4 linked regions of the Saccharomyces cerevisiae S288C genome follow. Changing the gene in region 4 together with the main gene of any one other region gives a genetic interaction. Each region holds a gene or a part of one and is shown on either strand. Other genes may lie near its edges.

Evidence for each region.
Region 1: mutations in PUN1 (region 4) and FRE3 together harm fitness more than expected from each alone (negative genetic interaction), as found in Saccharomyces cerevisiae (one large-scale study listed by BioGRID).
Region 2: mutations in PUN1 (region 4) and CDC19 together harm fitness more than expected from each alone (negative genetic interaction), as found in Saccharomyces cerevisiae (one large-scale study listed by BioGRID).
Region 3: mutations in PUN1 (region 4) and YPS1 together harm fitness more than expected from each alone (negative genetic interaction), as found in Saccharomyces cerevisiae (one large-scale study listed by BioGRID).

Annotation. Positions count from the first base shown.
Region 1 is NC_001147.6:1,053,988-1,058,235, reverse strand, and holds FRE3 (ferric-chelate reductase), read right to left. Parts: upstream 2,692-4,248; coding exon 556-2,691; downstream 1-555. UniProt on the Saccharomyces cerevisiae protein: Siderophore-iron reductase responsible for reducing extracellular iron prior to import. Catalyzes the reductive uptake of Fe(3+) bound to di- and trihydroxamate siderophores.
Region 2 is NC_001133.9:69,870-73,796, reverse strand, and holds CDC19 (pyruvate kinase CDC19), read right to left. Parts: upstream 2,012-3,927; coding exon 509-2,011; downstream 1-508. Other genes in the region: YAL037C-A (uncharacterized protein), read left to right, coding at 279-371.
Region 3 is NC_001144.5:386,011-390,229, forward strand, and holds YPS1 (aspartyl protease), read right to left. Parts: upstream 2,211-4,219; coding exon 501-2,210; downstream 1-500. Other genes in the region: ESCRT-I subunit protein SRN2, read left to right, coding at 1-165; YPS3 (aspartyl protease), read right to left, coding at 2,734-4,219. UniProt on the Saccharomyces cerevisiae protein: Cleaves proteins C-terminally to mono- and paired-basic residues. Involved in the shedding of a subset of GPI-anchored plasma membrane proteins from the cell surface, including itself, GAS1 and MSB2.
Region 4 is NC_001144.5:952,786-956,106, forward strand, and holds PUN1 (Pun1p), read right to left. Parts: upstream 1,360-3,321; coding exon 568-1,359; downstream 1-567. Other genes in the region: INA1 (Ina1p), read left to right, coding at 1-398; YLR415C (uncharacterized protein), read right to left, coding at 1,474-1,812; ESCRT-II subunit protein VPS36, read left to right, coding at 2,225-3,321. UniProt on the Saccharomyces cerevisiae protein: Contributes to the wild-type cellular response to nitrogen stress through signaling pathways that regulate the expression of genes involved in amino acid biosynthesis. Required for wild-type filamentous growth, cell growth, and cell-cell adhesion.

The sequences.
Region 1 (4,248 bases), on a different chromosome or scaffold from region 4:
CAACAATTACCTGTTCTCAAGAGCCTTGAGCCTGGATTGAGAGCAAAAAATCTCTCTTTCATTTTATACAGAATTCGGAAAGAAGATGGATATTTCATGAAAATCTGTTGGTAAAAAGTGGATAAAAATTTTGTATTATTAGTATGTTCTTAGTGGTTAGGTGATAACGAAGCGAGAAAAGCAGGGCAAATGGAATAGAATAGCGTGTAGTTGTTAAAATTTTATTTCACTGAGGCTTATATGCTTACTGAGAAATTTTTTTTTTTTACAAAAAACTTCTTTTTATGTTATACCAGCTGTGGATTACCACAACAATTGGAAAGAACATCAATCCAGAAAAAAAATTCAGTTAATTTGGAGGAAGAGAAATTTAAGTCATGGAACAAGAGTGGGAGACAGTTAAAAAATGCTTCCAAAGATTAGTAGATTGAAAAAGTTTGTGAAAGTCGATCAATTGTCTTCATTGCAGCTAGACATAAATTATGTTTCAGGTCAAAACAATTAAATATATACTTGTGATAGGTAAAATAGTGAGGAAATAAATAAGGTAATTGATTACCAACTTTGGTATTCTTCAAAGTATTCGATTGCCTTTGCAGGCTTCTCTAGAACAAGATTTGCCGTTTGATCCCTTACTTCGTCAACGAAAACAGGAGGCCCACAACAAACCACAGCTAACGATCCATTTAGGTCACCAACTTCATGCAGAAGCTTTTCAACATTGGGTCTTCCATGATGAAAAACAGTACCATCAAATTCAACTGGATTAGGTGACTGTTCTAGGGTAGTTGCCATAACAACACCTTTTCCATCGGCCTTCTCGTCTTGTTGAGAAATTTCCAAACTATCATTAGGAGTTAATGCCGGAACTTCCATTGTATTGTAGATGTGAAGCTGTACATTAAGATCTTCTAGACACATCAGCTCCGGCTTGTAAGCCTCGAGTACGTTAAACCCTCTAACTGCAATCACTAATTTTATGAATTGTTTTCCAGTTGCCGCTGACGTTTTTCCAAGTTTAATGGCGTGTGCAATGGGCCCTGGCAAACCAGTACCTCCCGTAAGTAGCAAGACGTTATCATAATTATTGACTGGAGATGAAGAGCCATATGGACCTTCTATAGCTAGTCTCATAGATGCCTTACCTCCATTGCAACACACATACTTTTTGACAAGTTTTGTTACTCCCTTTTTTTCCTTCAGGATAATAGTCAGCTCACCATCTTTGATAATTGAATCTAAGACTGTGAAAGGATGTGACTGCCAAAAATACAGGTGGTGTAGGAATGAAACGAAAACATACTGTCCTGGTTTGGCTTTCCATAGCCTTACTGGTCGTTTGACTGTGACTCGAATGATGTCATCGCCAACTAACTGTAAGGAAGCCTTAGGGAAACCGAAATAAGATACTCTAACAATTCGAATTAGCCTATCAATAGTCCAGATAGCAATAGCAGCGTATATCCACTCAATCCCACTCAATTCTACGACGTGCTCCCAACACGTATAAAAGAACAATGCGCCAAGCACAATATGGAGAAATAAGAAGGCTTCATAGAAAAACTTTCTGAACATTGCCAAAGAAAAAAACACCATAACACCAACTATACAAAGAGCAGCTACTCCAAATTGCCAATATGTCTCTTCCTTGCTTGCTGCCCAATCTTTGTAGAATACGGAATAACTGGTATAAGCAGCGCCATGAATCACAGCATCTAAAAACATCATTCTTCCCAACCACTTATGAAACATTATGAAAGAGGTATATTTTACTCCAGAAATGAATTCTAGAAAATTGTTCCTTCCTGCGAAAAGAGCTATTAGGGGAAAATGTGCAAATGCCAGGACACCACTTCTATCTGCCACGTATCGAGCAATCTGTTCTCTACGAGAGTCGAAAATTAAGTTGTAAGGATCATATTGATACCCGTATGCCAGAAAAACTGTATGAAGCACGAGGTATCCAAGTATAATGACGCCTTCAGATCGTGTGGGAAGGAAGCCTGTAAAAATTTTAAGGTAAGAAAAGCTCGACGCATGTTTACCCCAGATAGTAGGTATTGTCAAATATCTTCTCACATATCTTACAAGTCTTTGTTTAAATAAGGCAGTTTTAAACGGAGTGTAACTTAGATAATGGAGTATGCTGGCAAGAATCATAACACCTACAAAATAGGCGCAAATAATACCACCATAAGTATGACCAATGTCGTAGTTGGCGTAGAAACCATGGTAAGAATAATAATAGTTTTCTCTCACTTGGGCATCCATCTCGATTGGATACGTAAGATTCGCGCTACCTTCAGAATACTGTATTATGTATGTTGTTCCATTATTCAGCATATTATAGAAATCTGCATTAGTCATATTCTGAAGGTTATCAGTGTAATATGCGCAGTCTTCTTTGATAGCAGCAAAGGTTTTTTCAAAGGTTCTATTGGAATAACCCTTTTCATTCAATGATTCGTAAATACAATACAACATTGACTGTAATGCCGGTTCATATGTACATGCTGGTGAGGAATATAAATCGTCACTACTATACTCCCAGGTTACTTCGCCGAGAACTCCCATGCAGGCATCTGTCAAAACCAGTGGTAACTTGCCGTACATTTTTGTCTTAGCAGGGGAGGCGCTTGCTCCTGACAAGCAGCATAACAAAATAGAACCACAAAGGAGGACCCAATACATTGTTTTCCTTGTGTCTTATAATTTTTGAATTGAGAACGTTCATCAGCAATTGAAGTTAATCATTCTCTTGCCACCTTATATAAGTTGCGACGAATCTTTTAATATAAACAATTGATCAAATTCTGTACATCTATGTCAAAGATGAAAGCTTCTGACAGCCAAAAAAAAGAGTCTTTCATCGCCAACGAATCAGTAGCTTTTGTTAGAATTAAGAAGTTTGGCTTTTCGCCAATTCTTTGAGATGAGGTACACCCACATTCCACGTAAAACTCAAATATCGGTCCAGGAAAATTCTCGAGTTCAATCACGTCACCAATAGTAATAATAATTGTGCTTCTCTTGACACTCGCAAGGGACTTATTCTTTACCATTCAAATTTTTCTCCTATTATACACCCGAAATAAAGGCAAAATGAGATATGGGTGCATTTTACAAAAGAGGTTGCAACTATCCCGTTCGCAGTGTAAACTATGATCTAGGGTCAACAAAGCGGTTAATTTGTCATAGTTCTTTGCAGCTTTTAATTCTCTGATATCTTTCCCTCAAAGTGTATTGTTTTCGTAACTTTAGATTTTATCTAAATGTTTCATTTCCGGCGCATTATTAGCAAAAGGGTGCTGTCTCCCTAGCTGCATTCCCAGACCGGAGGCACAGAATTCTGTAGTGATACTCTGTCATTACTTACTGCAGAAAAAGTTAAGTAGCCGCTCAGTACCTCTTAATTGAAATGAAAAATTTTCGTCGCTTATTTCCTGCTTTGTTTTTGAGTACGTTTCCAATCATTTTCTGGCGTACTTCGTGAAAGGGTAAAATTAAAATACTGAAAGCATTCATATGCTGATATAGTGCAGAAAAGCAATGAATGCTAACAACTTCCCGGATATCTGAGCAACTGGATTCGATCAGAAAAGGCACTTTTTACAGACGTACGTCAAAGCTTTTATCTTTTGGCTATCTTCGCCAACTCTATAAAAGGCTGTACTCCTATAATTAACTGATAAATAATTCCCGAATCATACTAGTATTTATTTTCTATGAGTTGTGCTAAACAACGACTTTTTGAAATGCAATATGCTGAAAAAATCACTTTTTAGTCGCAAAGTCAATTTTGGGTGATCGAGGGTTTTATCTTTTTATGCACATGTAATTCTTCCCAAGAAATAGGAATTTCTTCCCAGATGATATTTTCCAACACTGCTTCGTAGTTATAATAATCTTGCAATGCCAACCGTAAAATAGTAACGCATTTCTAGAAGAATTTCGCAATTCATTTTATATTTTTTAATCAAATGAGAAAAAAGTATAACGATTAAAAACTCTCTAACCATGTATTGGAAAAAGATGTTGCAACTTATGTAATATTCCTTGGCAGGGTTTCCGGGGCCTGTGCGCAACTTTAACGCCATTTTATGCAGGCCGAGCATTCTAAGCCTCAAAAAAAGTTGTATCTCCGAACCTGCCAATCTTTACTGTCGTACCAACCAAGGGTATGAAAAAAGCAAATAAGGCCTACAGCTTATTCAGCTTAGTATACTTCATCAGATTTATGATAAAATT
Region 2 (3,927 bases), on a different chromosome or scaffold from region 4:
GCGAATAAATTTAGGACACTAATTGAATCTGCCCGCGTCATTTTTTATAAAAAATAGATTAAACCACCAAACGAAGGCCAGAAGCTGAACATAGTTCACTGGCATCTGCATTTATGTACCCATGTATAACCTTCCAAGTTAGTTCTTGGGAAACGAAAATTATATTGAATTTTTTATTGAATTTTTAGCGTATCCTTTCGCCATCCTGATAATCATGATAACCTTGAGGGAAGATTATCTTGCGATGGGAGGGATCAAATTTAGCAAATTTTGACTCTATGTCAATCTCGTTTCCAAAAATGCAACACCTCATCGTTATGACGACAATTGGAGACAAAAAGGTTAACAATAACATAATACTCTTTTTATAGAATACCTTATAAAATGTATGTTATTTAAGTAACTTATAAATCTTTATTTGAGTTGAAAAGAAAAACCATGTCTTTATATAAAATTTAAAAAATATAATTCAAAAAAATAATATCTTCATTCAATCATGATTCTTTTTTTAAACGGTAGAGACTTGCAAAGTGTTGGAGTGACCAGCACCGGCCTTGAAACCTTGGATGGAAACGTAAGTGTCACCCTTCTTCAAGATACCGAATTCCTTAGCCTTTTCAATACCGAAGTTGATACGGGCTTCAACATCATCAGTCCAGTCAGAGACAGGTTCCTTTTCGAAAACGAATGGGAAGACACCTCTGTACAAGTGAGAGAATCTAGCAGCTCTTGGGCATCTGGTAACCAAGATGATTGGACAGTTTGGTCTGTACTTGGAAACCAATCTTGGGGTGGTACCGGAAGTGGACAAGACAATGATAGCCTTGGCCTTTTGTTCGAAAACAGCAGCGACAGCGGAGGCAGCGACGGTTTCGGTGGTGGAGGTTGGCTTTGGAGTACAGTTTCTCATGTCATCGTAGTTTGGCAAGTAAGCGATAGCTTGTTCAGCAATGACAGCGGTTTCAGCCATAGTGGTAACGGCGTTGATTGGGTAGTTACCCTTGGCGGTTTCACCAGACAACATAACACAGTCAGCACCATCCAAGATAGCGTTACCGACATCGGAAACTTCAGCTCTGGTTGGTCTTGGGTTGTAAGTCATGGATTCCAACATTTGGGTAGCACAGATAACTGGCTTACCAGCCAAGTTAGACTTAGCAATCAATTTCTTTTGGACAGCCAAGACTTCTGGGGCTGGGATTTCAATACCCAAGTCACCTCTGGCAACCATAACACCGTCAGTGACCTTCAAGATTTCGTCGAAGTTGTTAACACCTTGTTGGTTTTCAATCTTGACAATGATCTTGACGTCCTTACCTTGTTCACCCAAGACTTCTCTGATGGTCAAAACATCGTTGGCGGTTCTGATGAAAGAAGCGAAGACCATGTGGACACCGTTCTTGACACCGAATCTCAAATCTTCCTTGTCCTTTTCAGACAAAGCTGGCAAATCGACATCGGTACCTGGTAAGTTGACACCCTTGTGGGAACAGATCTTACCGGCGTTCAAAGCCTTGACCTTCAAAGTCTTGTCGTCAACGACTTCCAAAACTTGGAAAGACAAAACACCATCATCAACGTAGATGATTCTACCAGCGGAGATGACCTTGGTGATGTTCTTGTAGTCAACGTACATGATCTTGTCGTCACAAGCCTTAGCGTACTTGTCATCGGTGGTGAAGATCATTTCGTGGTTTGGTGGGATTGGGTAGTCAACATCGTTGGTGGTGGTACCAGTTCTGATTTCTGGACCCTTGGTGTCCAAAGCAATGGCCAATGGTCTACCTGGGTACAATTCTTCGGACTTTCTGGCGTTGTCAATGACAGACTTGTGGTATTCGTAAGAACCGTGAGAGAAGTTCATACGGACAATGTTCAAACCAGCCTTTCTCAAAGCAACCAAGGTTTCTGGGTTGTTGGTCTTTGGACCGATGGTACCAATGATGGAGGTTCTTCTCAAGTCAGAACCAGCAACAACGTTTAATGAGGTCAATCTTTCTAATCTAGACATTGTGATGATGTTTTATTTGTTTTGATTGGTGTCTTGTAAATAGAAACAAGAGAGAATAATAAACAAGTTAAGAATAAAAAACCAAAGGATGAAAAAGAATGAATATGAAAAAGAGTAGAGAATAACTTTGAAAGGGGACCATGATATAACTGGAAAAAAGAGGTTCTTGGAAATGAAAAGTTACCAAAGAGTATTTATAATTCAGAAAAAAAAGCCAACGAATATCGTTTTGATGGCGAGCCTTTTTTTTTTTTTAGGAAGACACTAAAGGTACCTAGCATCATATGGGAAGGAAAGGAAATCACTTGGAAGACATCACAAGCATTCATTTACCAAGAGAAAAAATATGCATTTTAGCTAAGATCCATTGAACAAAGCACTCACTCAACTCAACTGAATGAACGAAAGAAGAAAGAACAGTAGAAAACACTTTGTGACGGTGCGGAACACATTTACGTAGCTATCATGCTGAATTCTACTATGAAAATCTCCCAATCTGTCGATGGCAAAACGACCCACGTGGCAGAGTTGGGTCAAGTGCCAGTTTCTGGATTAAGTAACAGATACAGACATCACACGCCATAGAGGAATCCCGCCGTTGCGAGAGATGGAAAACAATAGAGCCGAAATTGTGGAAGCCCGATGTCTGGGTGTACATTTTTTTTTTTTCTTTCTTTCTCTTTCAATAATCTTTCCTTTTTCCATTTAGCTTGCCGGAAAAACTTTCGGGTAGCGAAAATCTTTCTGCCGGAAAAATTAGCTATTTTTTTCTTCCTTATTATTTTTTTAGTTCTGAAGTTTGACCAGGGCGCTACCCTGACCGTATCACAACCGACGATCCGGGGTCATGGCGGCTATTTTTTTTTTTTTTTTTTTTTTCCTTGTGATTGTTTATTTACATTTGGATCAATTCTAACAAAAAAAAAATAAGGGGGGAAAAATAATTCACCTCTTTTTAATATTGTTTTGTACTGAGATTAATCTCCAAAATACTAGCATTGACACACATCTCAAGTCATCTCAAATAAAGTCGGAAAACCCCCCCTTTCCAAATAATTGAGGTGACGTTGCCATGAACAGGGAAGCAGAATTTGATTCGAAGACTAAGACCAAGCATACCCATTCTCATTTGGTCCTTTCTTTATTTTTACTTCAACTCCCTTAACGTTCGGAGAAAAACTCTGGTTATTCTTCATGCGATATAATTGGCGAAAAAAATCTTGTCTCATACGTAAAAAGTATTAAAAAAATTGCCCATTTTGTGCCCGCAGACAACTGCAACCTATCTTCAAAAGCCGAAAAGGAGGTTTTCTTCTTATTCGCTGGACAGACCCTCTTTTTTGCTGTTGCTTTATTTTTTATGTTTAGAAACAAAATTTCCCCGAGAGAAAGGGAAAATATGTGGAAAAAGAAAAAGCACTTCCTTACCAAACGTCATTCCATCCATGAAATACTTGGCCGATTGAACTTTTCATTTGGTCCAAATATGGAAGTGATAAACGATCTTACTCCAACGTAGATAAAACATTGATAGTAGCCCTAACTGATATTATGGCAAGTCGGCCACACCGCTCATTAGGACAATTCCTTTTTTTCCTTTTTTTTTCTTCTCACTTTTCGGCTATCGGAGCCTTTGATTTAATCGCCGGTGCCTACGTCTTTGGTGTGTATCATATCGGTCTTGAGTCCCATACTACATGCTCTGCTAATAATAGTCATGCAAGTAATAAAGGTAATTTATGGTGAGGGAGGCTTAGGAATATCTAATACTAAGTGCCTAAAACATCAGCAGCAATACAACAATACAACAATGCAACAGGTTCAAAGGAAATAATCAGCAACGCTTTCAAGGGAGCAAGTTGTGGTTTACAACACCTACAATTCTTTCAAGACGTTTGCAACACTGCGACAAAAGT
Region 3 (4,219 bases), 570 kb from region 4:
AAACTTGATGAGGAGAGTTCACAGCTAGAAACTACCACAAGGTCCATTGACTCAGCCGATGACCTGGATCAGTTCATCAAAAATTATCTGGACATACGAACACAATATCACTTGAGGAGAGAGAAACTGGCGACCTGGGATAAACAAGGTAATTTGAAATACTAGTTCAGCAGCTACCGCCATTATCAATATGTACGTATATAGACTATACTTTATAGATTATTCTAGATGCCAAACGAATTATTAGAATATTAAAGCCTTTGATTATAGGCCATATCCCAGGTAAATAGTATACTAGGAATGAGAAAAAAAAATGTGAATAAATGGTAACCTATTCTTAGTGGGTAAGATAAACTATTGTGAAGTAAAAATGAAGACCGCCAACGTAACAATAAAAAATTAATAATAAAAAAAAACTTTGCCCAAGCGAGAGCAACGATTTCCGCCAGAAACTCCAACTGGCTTGGAGATGTGAATGTCTAAACTTTGTGCAACGGTTTTCAGATGAATGCAAAAAGAAGAGAAATTAATGTGAGGGGTAAAGATGGAACTATATGATCACCAACATTTCTTTTACTTGATGTAGAAGTGGCGGATGCAGTACTGGTCGTCAGGTTACCGCTAAAGGAAGCAGTTTGTGAGGAATTTACAGTAAATATGTTACCACCGGTAACAATAGATGCACTTGTGGACCAAGTGTTTGTATAGCCTGGTGCCTTTACGGCGCTTGGAACAGAGGATGTAATAATTTCGATATTTTCGCTTGTGGTATTATAGCGAGCTTGTGCCATGGATATTTCAAGATTCTCCAAATCATAAACCACGTACGCGTTAGTCAAAAATGAATCACCCAAAATGGTACCTGTGTCATCACTCGTTGGGATAATACCTAAAAGACATGTAGTGCCAGTACTCAAGATAAAACTCGAAAGTGGTGCATTGATGTGAAAACCACCAAAATCGAACACTATTTCCATACTATCATCAGATGGACAGTCCAATACGTAATACCCTATCCTGGAAGAGTATTGCGCACCTAGTTCAGTAGCGATCATACTTACCACTGTTTGAGGTAAATAAGTCAAAGTAGTACCGGAATCCAACAAAGCAGGTATTTTAGTGGTAGTCAAGGTCTTGTTACTACTCCCAGAATCACTAATACCGATACCATTAATAGTGACATCAAATTGAATGGGAGAGCTAAATCCACTAGCACTCAGAGTGTTTACGATGGGGATTGTGTATAAGGTGCCGGTATATTTACTGTGGTCCACGGCTCCGAACAAAATGGTGCCATGCATAGCGTCCGAGTCGTTCAAATACAAAGAATATGTGTTGCTTTTGATAGCACCAGAATTTTTCAATACAATGGGGAAGTTGTCGTATTTATAAGCTTTTCCACTATGAGACGCAGTAGAGCCAGAATAAGTGACTTCTAATTCGGGCAAACCAATACCTAACACACCCATAGTAGAATTCGTTTCATTGGCAACGGCAAAAGACAACCCGGTAACGTTCAAGTCGCTTAAATCCAAAACATCCGTACCAAAAGTACCGGAGGCAAAAGTCCCATCACCGTAGCTAATACTGAAATAGGTGTTGTTTGATCTAAATGTAGAAGAGCCCGAAGTGGAAAATGTCCCGTATTGTTGACAGTCCATGGTGGCTTCCGAAGCAGGCACGGATTGAGTTGCCGTACCTGAACCGCCTCCTAAGCCCGTAGCAGTGGGGCCAATGGCACTGCCCGTTCCCGTCAACCAGCCAAATGGGTTTATATCATTAATCAAAGATCCGCCGCTTGACGAATCATCACGTTTGTCAATAACACGTCTCCGGCTACTACCCATACTGTTCGAAGAACAGTATGGATTATCCGAGCCCATAATCCATAGATCAGAGGAGCCTGTGTCCACCAGGACCGTTACGTTCTGTGGTGGCGTGCCCACTTCCAAGTCCACCGAATAGAAACTTTGCTGGTTGGTAATTATAATTTCTTCATAACCGTCAGCCCTCTTCAATAGGCGTACTTCCGGTTTTTTGTCGCTTCCCACATTTTCTAGCGAGTCCCCGTAAAGCTTATGAAAGGGCAACTTGACGAACTTGGAATTCGAGTCGTCGTCGCGCTTGTTTGCTGCTGGTATTATCTTACCGAGAACCTGCGATGCAAAGAGTGACGAAAGGACCGCAGATCTTACAGTTTTCAGTTTCATATGTGGTAGGTAATATTATACTATATGCTTGGTGTTCACCTTATCTTTTTATTACGCTATGTATTTTAATATACAGAAAAGCCAATTGCGTTCTTCTTAATAACCGTCCAATTGCGGAAATAGGAACAAATGCAAAAAGAAGGAAAAAAGTAAATCCTCTTTGACACCCTTTTCTTAAGTAGTCGGATTTCCCTGTTTCTCCATAAATAAGTCCACGAATTTTTTTATGAAACCTCAATTTTTTCGGACACATCAGTGAAACGAAAACTACTCATGGCGCAGTATAAAAGGAGCGAAAAGCCACTCAGTTGAGTGGACGAGGGAGGTGAGGTGGTGACAGAAAAGAGGAGGAAGGAGGCAGTGCTATGTGAGGGTGTCTTGGCTGCATGCAAGGTCTGACGATCTAATTGACGCGTCAGAACGTGTGTTTTAGGAATATTCTTATTTAAGTATGCTTTTCCTCTTGAAATCGCGCAAAGAAGGAAAGGAAAAAGTGTCTATATATAGTGTCTATTGTTTTTTTTTACGAAAAGAAAACGGAAAGGATGAGTAAGGAGGGGACTAGCAGTAAACCCAAGGTAGAGCGTATACTGGAAGCGGAGTTGGTAGCAGCCCTCTGGAGTGCCCTCTTGCTTTTATGAGTCGACTTTGCAGTAGTGGTAGAGTTTGTCTTCTTGGTGGTGGTTGACCTCGTAGTGGTGGCAGTACTGGTGCCATTGAAAGTGCGCACGGTGGTAAAAATATTACCACCGGACGTGGCGGAGGCGTAGTTAGACCAAGTGTTGTTGTAACTGGGGGCCCTTATTGCACTGGGAACGGTAGATTTGATGACTTCGACGTTCTCTTTCCCCGTGCCATACTTGGCTTGAGCTAGGGAAATCTCGTAGTTATCCAAATCGTAGACCACGTAGGCGTTTCTCAAGAAGGAATCACCAAGGATAGCGGTGGCGTTGCCCGCTTGTGGAATTATTGCCAAGACACAGGTCCCCACACTGGTCTGCATAGTAAAGTCGGATAGAGGAGCGTTGATACGGAAGCCACCGAAGTCGAAGGCCACGCTGGTTTTGTTGTCGCTCGAGGGACACGTGTACTCATAATAACCCAATGTCTTGGAATACGAGGCATTCAAGCTCTTTGCTAGCAAAGCCACTGCCTGGGAGGGCAGATATGTTAGCGTTGTGCCTGAATCGAGTAGGGCTGGGAGCTTGGTGGTGGTCAATGTGATGTTGCGCTTGTCGGTTTGCAGTCCTAAGCCCTGTAAAGTGACATCGAACGCCACCGGGTGCTGATAACCCTGCGACTTATAAAGATTAACCAACGGGATAGTGTACAGTTGGCCCTCGTACTTGCTGTGATCTACAGCGCCGAAGAGGATGCTGCCGGAGGACTGTGACTCGTCATTTAGGAAAAGAGAGTATGCGGTTGCATCGATGGCTCCAGAATGTTTTAGGAACAGGGGAAAGTTATCATACTCGTAGCTTCTCTTGTCCATAATAGCGACTTTTCCAGAATAGGTGACTTCAAGCGTGGAAAGGCCGATCCCGAGCACACCAAAGGTTGAGTTAGATTCGTTGGCCACGGCAAACGATAGACCACTGAGGTCTAATTCGTTGTACTTTAATTTATCTTGACCAAATGCACCTTCTGCATAGGTTCCGTCACCGTAAGCGGCATAAAAAGGCGAGGACTTGTTGGCTTTGAACGTGGACGACTTGGTCTTGTCGAACACGCCATACTGGTCACAGTCCATCACAGAACCGCAGTAGGGGTTTCCCTTGCCAGGAACCCATAAGTCAGCTGAGCCTGTGTCTAACAGCACAGTGAGGTTTTGTGAAGGTGTACCAATGGCTAGCTCAACAGAATAAAAGCTTTGCTCGTTAGCTAGTACAAATTTTTCATGGCCGTTCGATCTCTTGCTGAGTTCACCATTGTCGCCGTTCTTTTTTTTTGTGAAGGGAATCTTGACGTATTTCCCATCGGGAAGTACTCTACCGAATGCCGGACTAGTT
Region 4 (3,321 bases):
TCTTCTTAATGGTATTCTTGTTGCTACTAAGTAGACGTTCCGTGGTGAGTCAAAAATTATGGTTGGCATTGGGCTTTATTTCCTGTTGGATATGTATTTTCAGCGGGTTGGGAAGCACAATCTTTAGCGTCATCCTTAATATGATGAAATCCGGCTCCAAGAAGGACAATTACGATGTCATTATTTCTGGCTCTTCTCCATTTTATGGCCTAATGTGGTCTGGATTTGTATTTGCCGTCCTTGTATTTCTCTGCATTGCATACTGCTGGTGGAGCAGCAGAAAGGGAGCTGCCATCGTGGAAGCTGAGAAAGCTGTTCAAGAAAGTGACTCTACTACCTCAAGAATCATTGAAGAACACGAAAGCCCCATTGATGCTGAAAAAAACTTTGCAAGGTAAAATAATAAAAAGAAGATCATGCAACATCACCCCGTAAATTTTTTCAATTCTCCATCCTTTTAATTTTCTTCATTATAATTTTCTGAATTGTATATAGACAATATATTTTAATCATATTTAATATGAAACGGAACACAAAAATTAATTAATAACCTTGCCTTTTTCAAATTCAAATCAATGGTTTTTCCTCAATTGGAGCGTTCGCATAGATGACGGTGGGCCTCGATCTCACGCTACACCATAGAATGAAATTCAGTAATGCTCCAACGACAGCCCCCCACATCAAACCCTGGTAGTTCCTACCAATGCTCATTGAAATACCGTAATCACTATAGTTATGCTTTAGGATGTATTTGATGTATGAGTAAGTGCCCAAACACGAACCTATACTGACTAATAGGGCGGCAAAGGCGAAAAATGAAAAAAAGGCACCAAACCACGTTAGCGGCCTTATGTGGATGATCCAGCGCAATACGTTGAACACTAGATTCACAAAGGTCAAGACAATACCAATAAGAATGGTAATGAACATACACTTGACCAAATTGTTGTAGTATGTCATTTTACTTTTTAGTTTTTCGGGCAAAACAACACTGGCCACGGAATCCATAAGCTCCAGAGCCTCATTGTTGTTGATATTGTCATACACTAATGACGATAGGTTAAAATTCTGGATACCGTGAGGCGAAGAACATGATTGGATGTTATGCGAGGAGTCCACTGTACAGTACGACCAAAGCCCTATATTTATATATGAGGGCAGGCCCAACGAAGATAGCGTAGCAGAACTCAAAGAAGGGAGCACCGTCGATACCTTCATCTGCGACAGATCCAATTCTGCACAGTAAATTTTATTTATGGGACTGTAATTTTTCGTTGATCCTGCGCATGCAACAATGGCTAATATAAGTGCTCCTAGCGAAAATATAGCTGCAAAAAATAACGTGAAAAAATTCCTCATGCTTATAGCGTCCTTCGATGATGTGTTTGTTTTTTTCTTAATAGTTCTCTATTGCTTTAATCAAGTTTCACTACTGCGCAGCGTTGTATGATCTTGATCTAGTTTCTTTTAGTTCTACTTCCAAACAACTGGTCCAGAATGAAACACCACTGGACACTCATTGACTACTGAGACATGGAAGAGCAACATTCTCGCGTATATATACTTCTCAGCCAATTTTCCTGCGAGAAGCGCTAAAAATACCGAGCTGGGCTTGGCTGATAGTACGCCCGATTTGGAAATAACGCTCGAGGCGTGCTGCGTCCTTTTTTGCCTGGCCAGGCCAGGCCGGGTTGTCCCGCACCATTCAACGGCGGCTATCTGGCGATGTTGAAAGAGGGGGGGAGTGGAGAGGGCTCTGAGGGTCAAGTGGGAGGCTGTGACAGTTCTCATAAGCTGGGCACTGAGATACATGGAAAGAAATAGGCTGTTCACAGTGTACGTCAATGTGTGGCTGACTAACCGTTAGCGGGGCGGAACCGACATGTCTGGTGCAGTGTATGTAAGAAAAAAAGAATGACAATGCATGGCCAAACTTTTGATCTGTGACGTTCGCAAAACGCACTACTTTGCTTTCTGTATGCAATGGGAATGAGGCGTAGCGACATATTAAGAAGCCTTTTCCATGTGAGGAAGCTTCGCCTTGTTTTCCAGACGCGCTTTTTTTAGGATCAACGAAGAGGAAAAAGGGTTTCACATGTTTCATCTGGAAAAGATGGAGACTGAAAAACAAAAAAGCAGAGAAAAGGTCATCCAAGATAGAATAGGGGACCTCGGCTAGGAATCAGGAAGTGTGTTTTGAAAGTCATTCTTTTTTTTTCAAAAGATGGAGTACTGGCATTATGTGGAAACTACGTCATCGGGCCAACCTCTTCTTCGAGAAGGTGAAAAAGATATCTTTATCGATCAGTCCGTAGGTCTTTACCATGGCAAATCTAAGATTCTACAGCGACAGAGGGGCAGAATCTTTTTAACGTCACAAAGAATTATCTACATCGACGATGCAAAGCCCACTCAGAACTCGCTTGGGTTGGAATTGGACGATCTAGCGTATGTAAACTATTCATCTGGCTTCTTGACCAGATCACCTCGTCTGATCCTGTTTTTCAAGGACCCCTCCAGTAAGGATGAACTTGGTAAAAGTGCGGAAACAGCAAGTGCCGACGTTGTTTCGACGTGGGTCTGCCCCATCTGTATGGTTTCGAACGAAACGCAGGGGGAATTCACTAAAGACACTCTACCTACACCCATTTGTATCAATTGCGGTGTGCCAGCGGACTATGAGCTCACCAAGTCGTCTATAAATTGTTCTAATGCAATCGACCCGAACGCCAACCCACAGAATCAGTTCGGAGTGAACTCTGAGAACATTTGCCCCGCCTGTACTTTTGCTAATCATCCTCAAATAGGAAATTGCGAGATTTGCGGCCACAGATTGCCTAATGCATCCAAAGTACGATCAAAGCTGAACAGGCTAAACTTTCATGATTCTAGGGTCCATATTGAGCTAGAAAAAAATTCACTGGCTAGAAACAAGAGCTCGCACTCGGCATTATCGTCCTCGTCCTCGACAGGATCATCGACAGAATTCGTGCAATTGAGTTTCCGCAAATCTGATGGCGTATTGTTTTCACAAGCTACAGAGAGGGCTTTGGAGAATATACTCACTGAAAAGAATAAGCATATTTTCAATCAGAATGTGGTTTCTGTAAATGGTGTAGACATGAGGAAAGGGGCTAGTTCTCACGAATACAACAATGAGGTGCCATTTATTGAGACTAAATTGAGCAGAATTGGCATATCAAGCTTGGAAAAATCTAGAGAAAACCAGCTTTTGAACAATGACATTCTCTTTAACAATGCGTTGACCGACCTAAACAAGCTAATGTCGCTGGCTACCAGCATCGAAAGACTATACAAAAA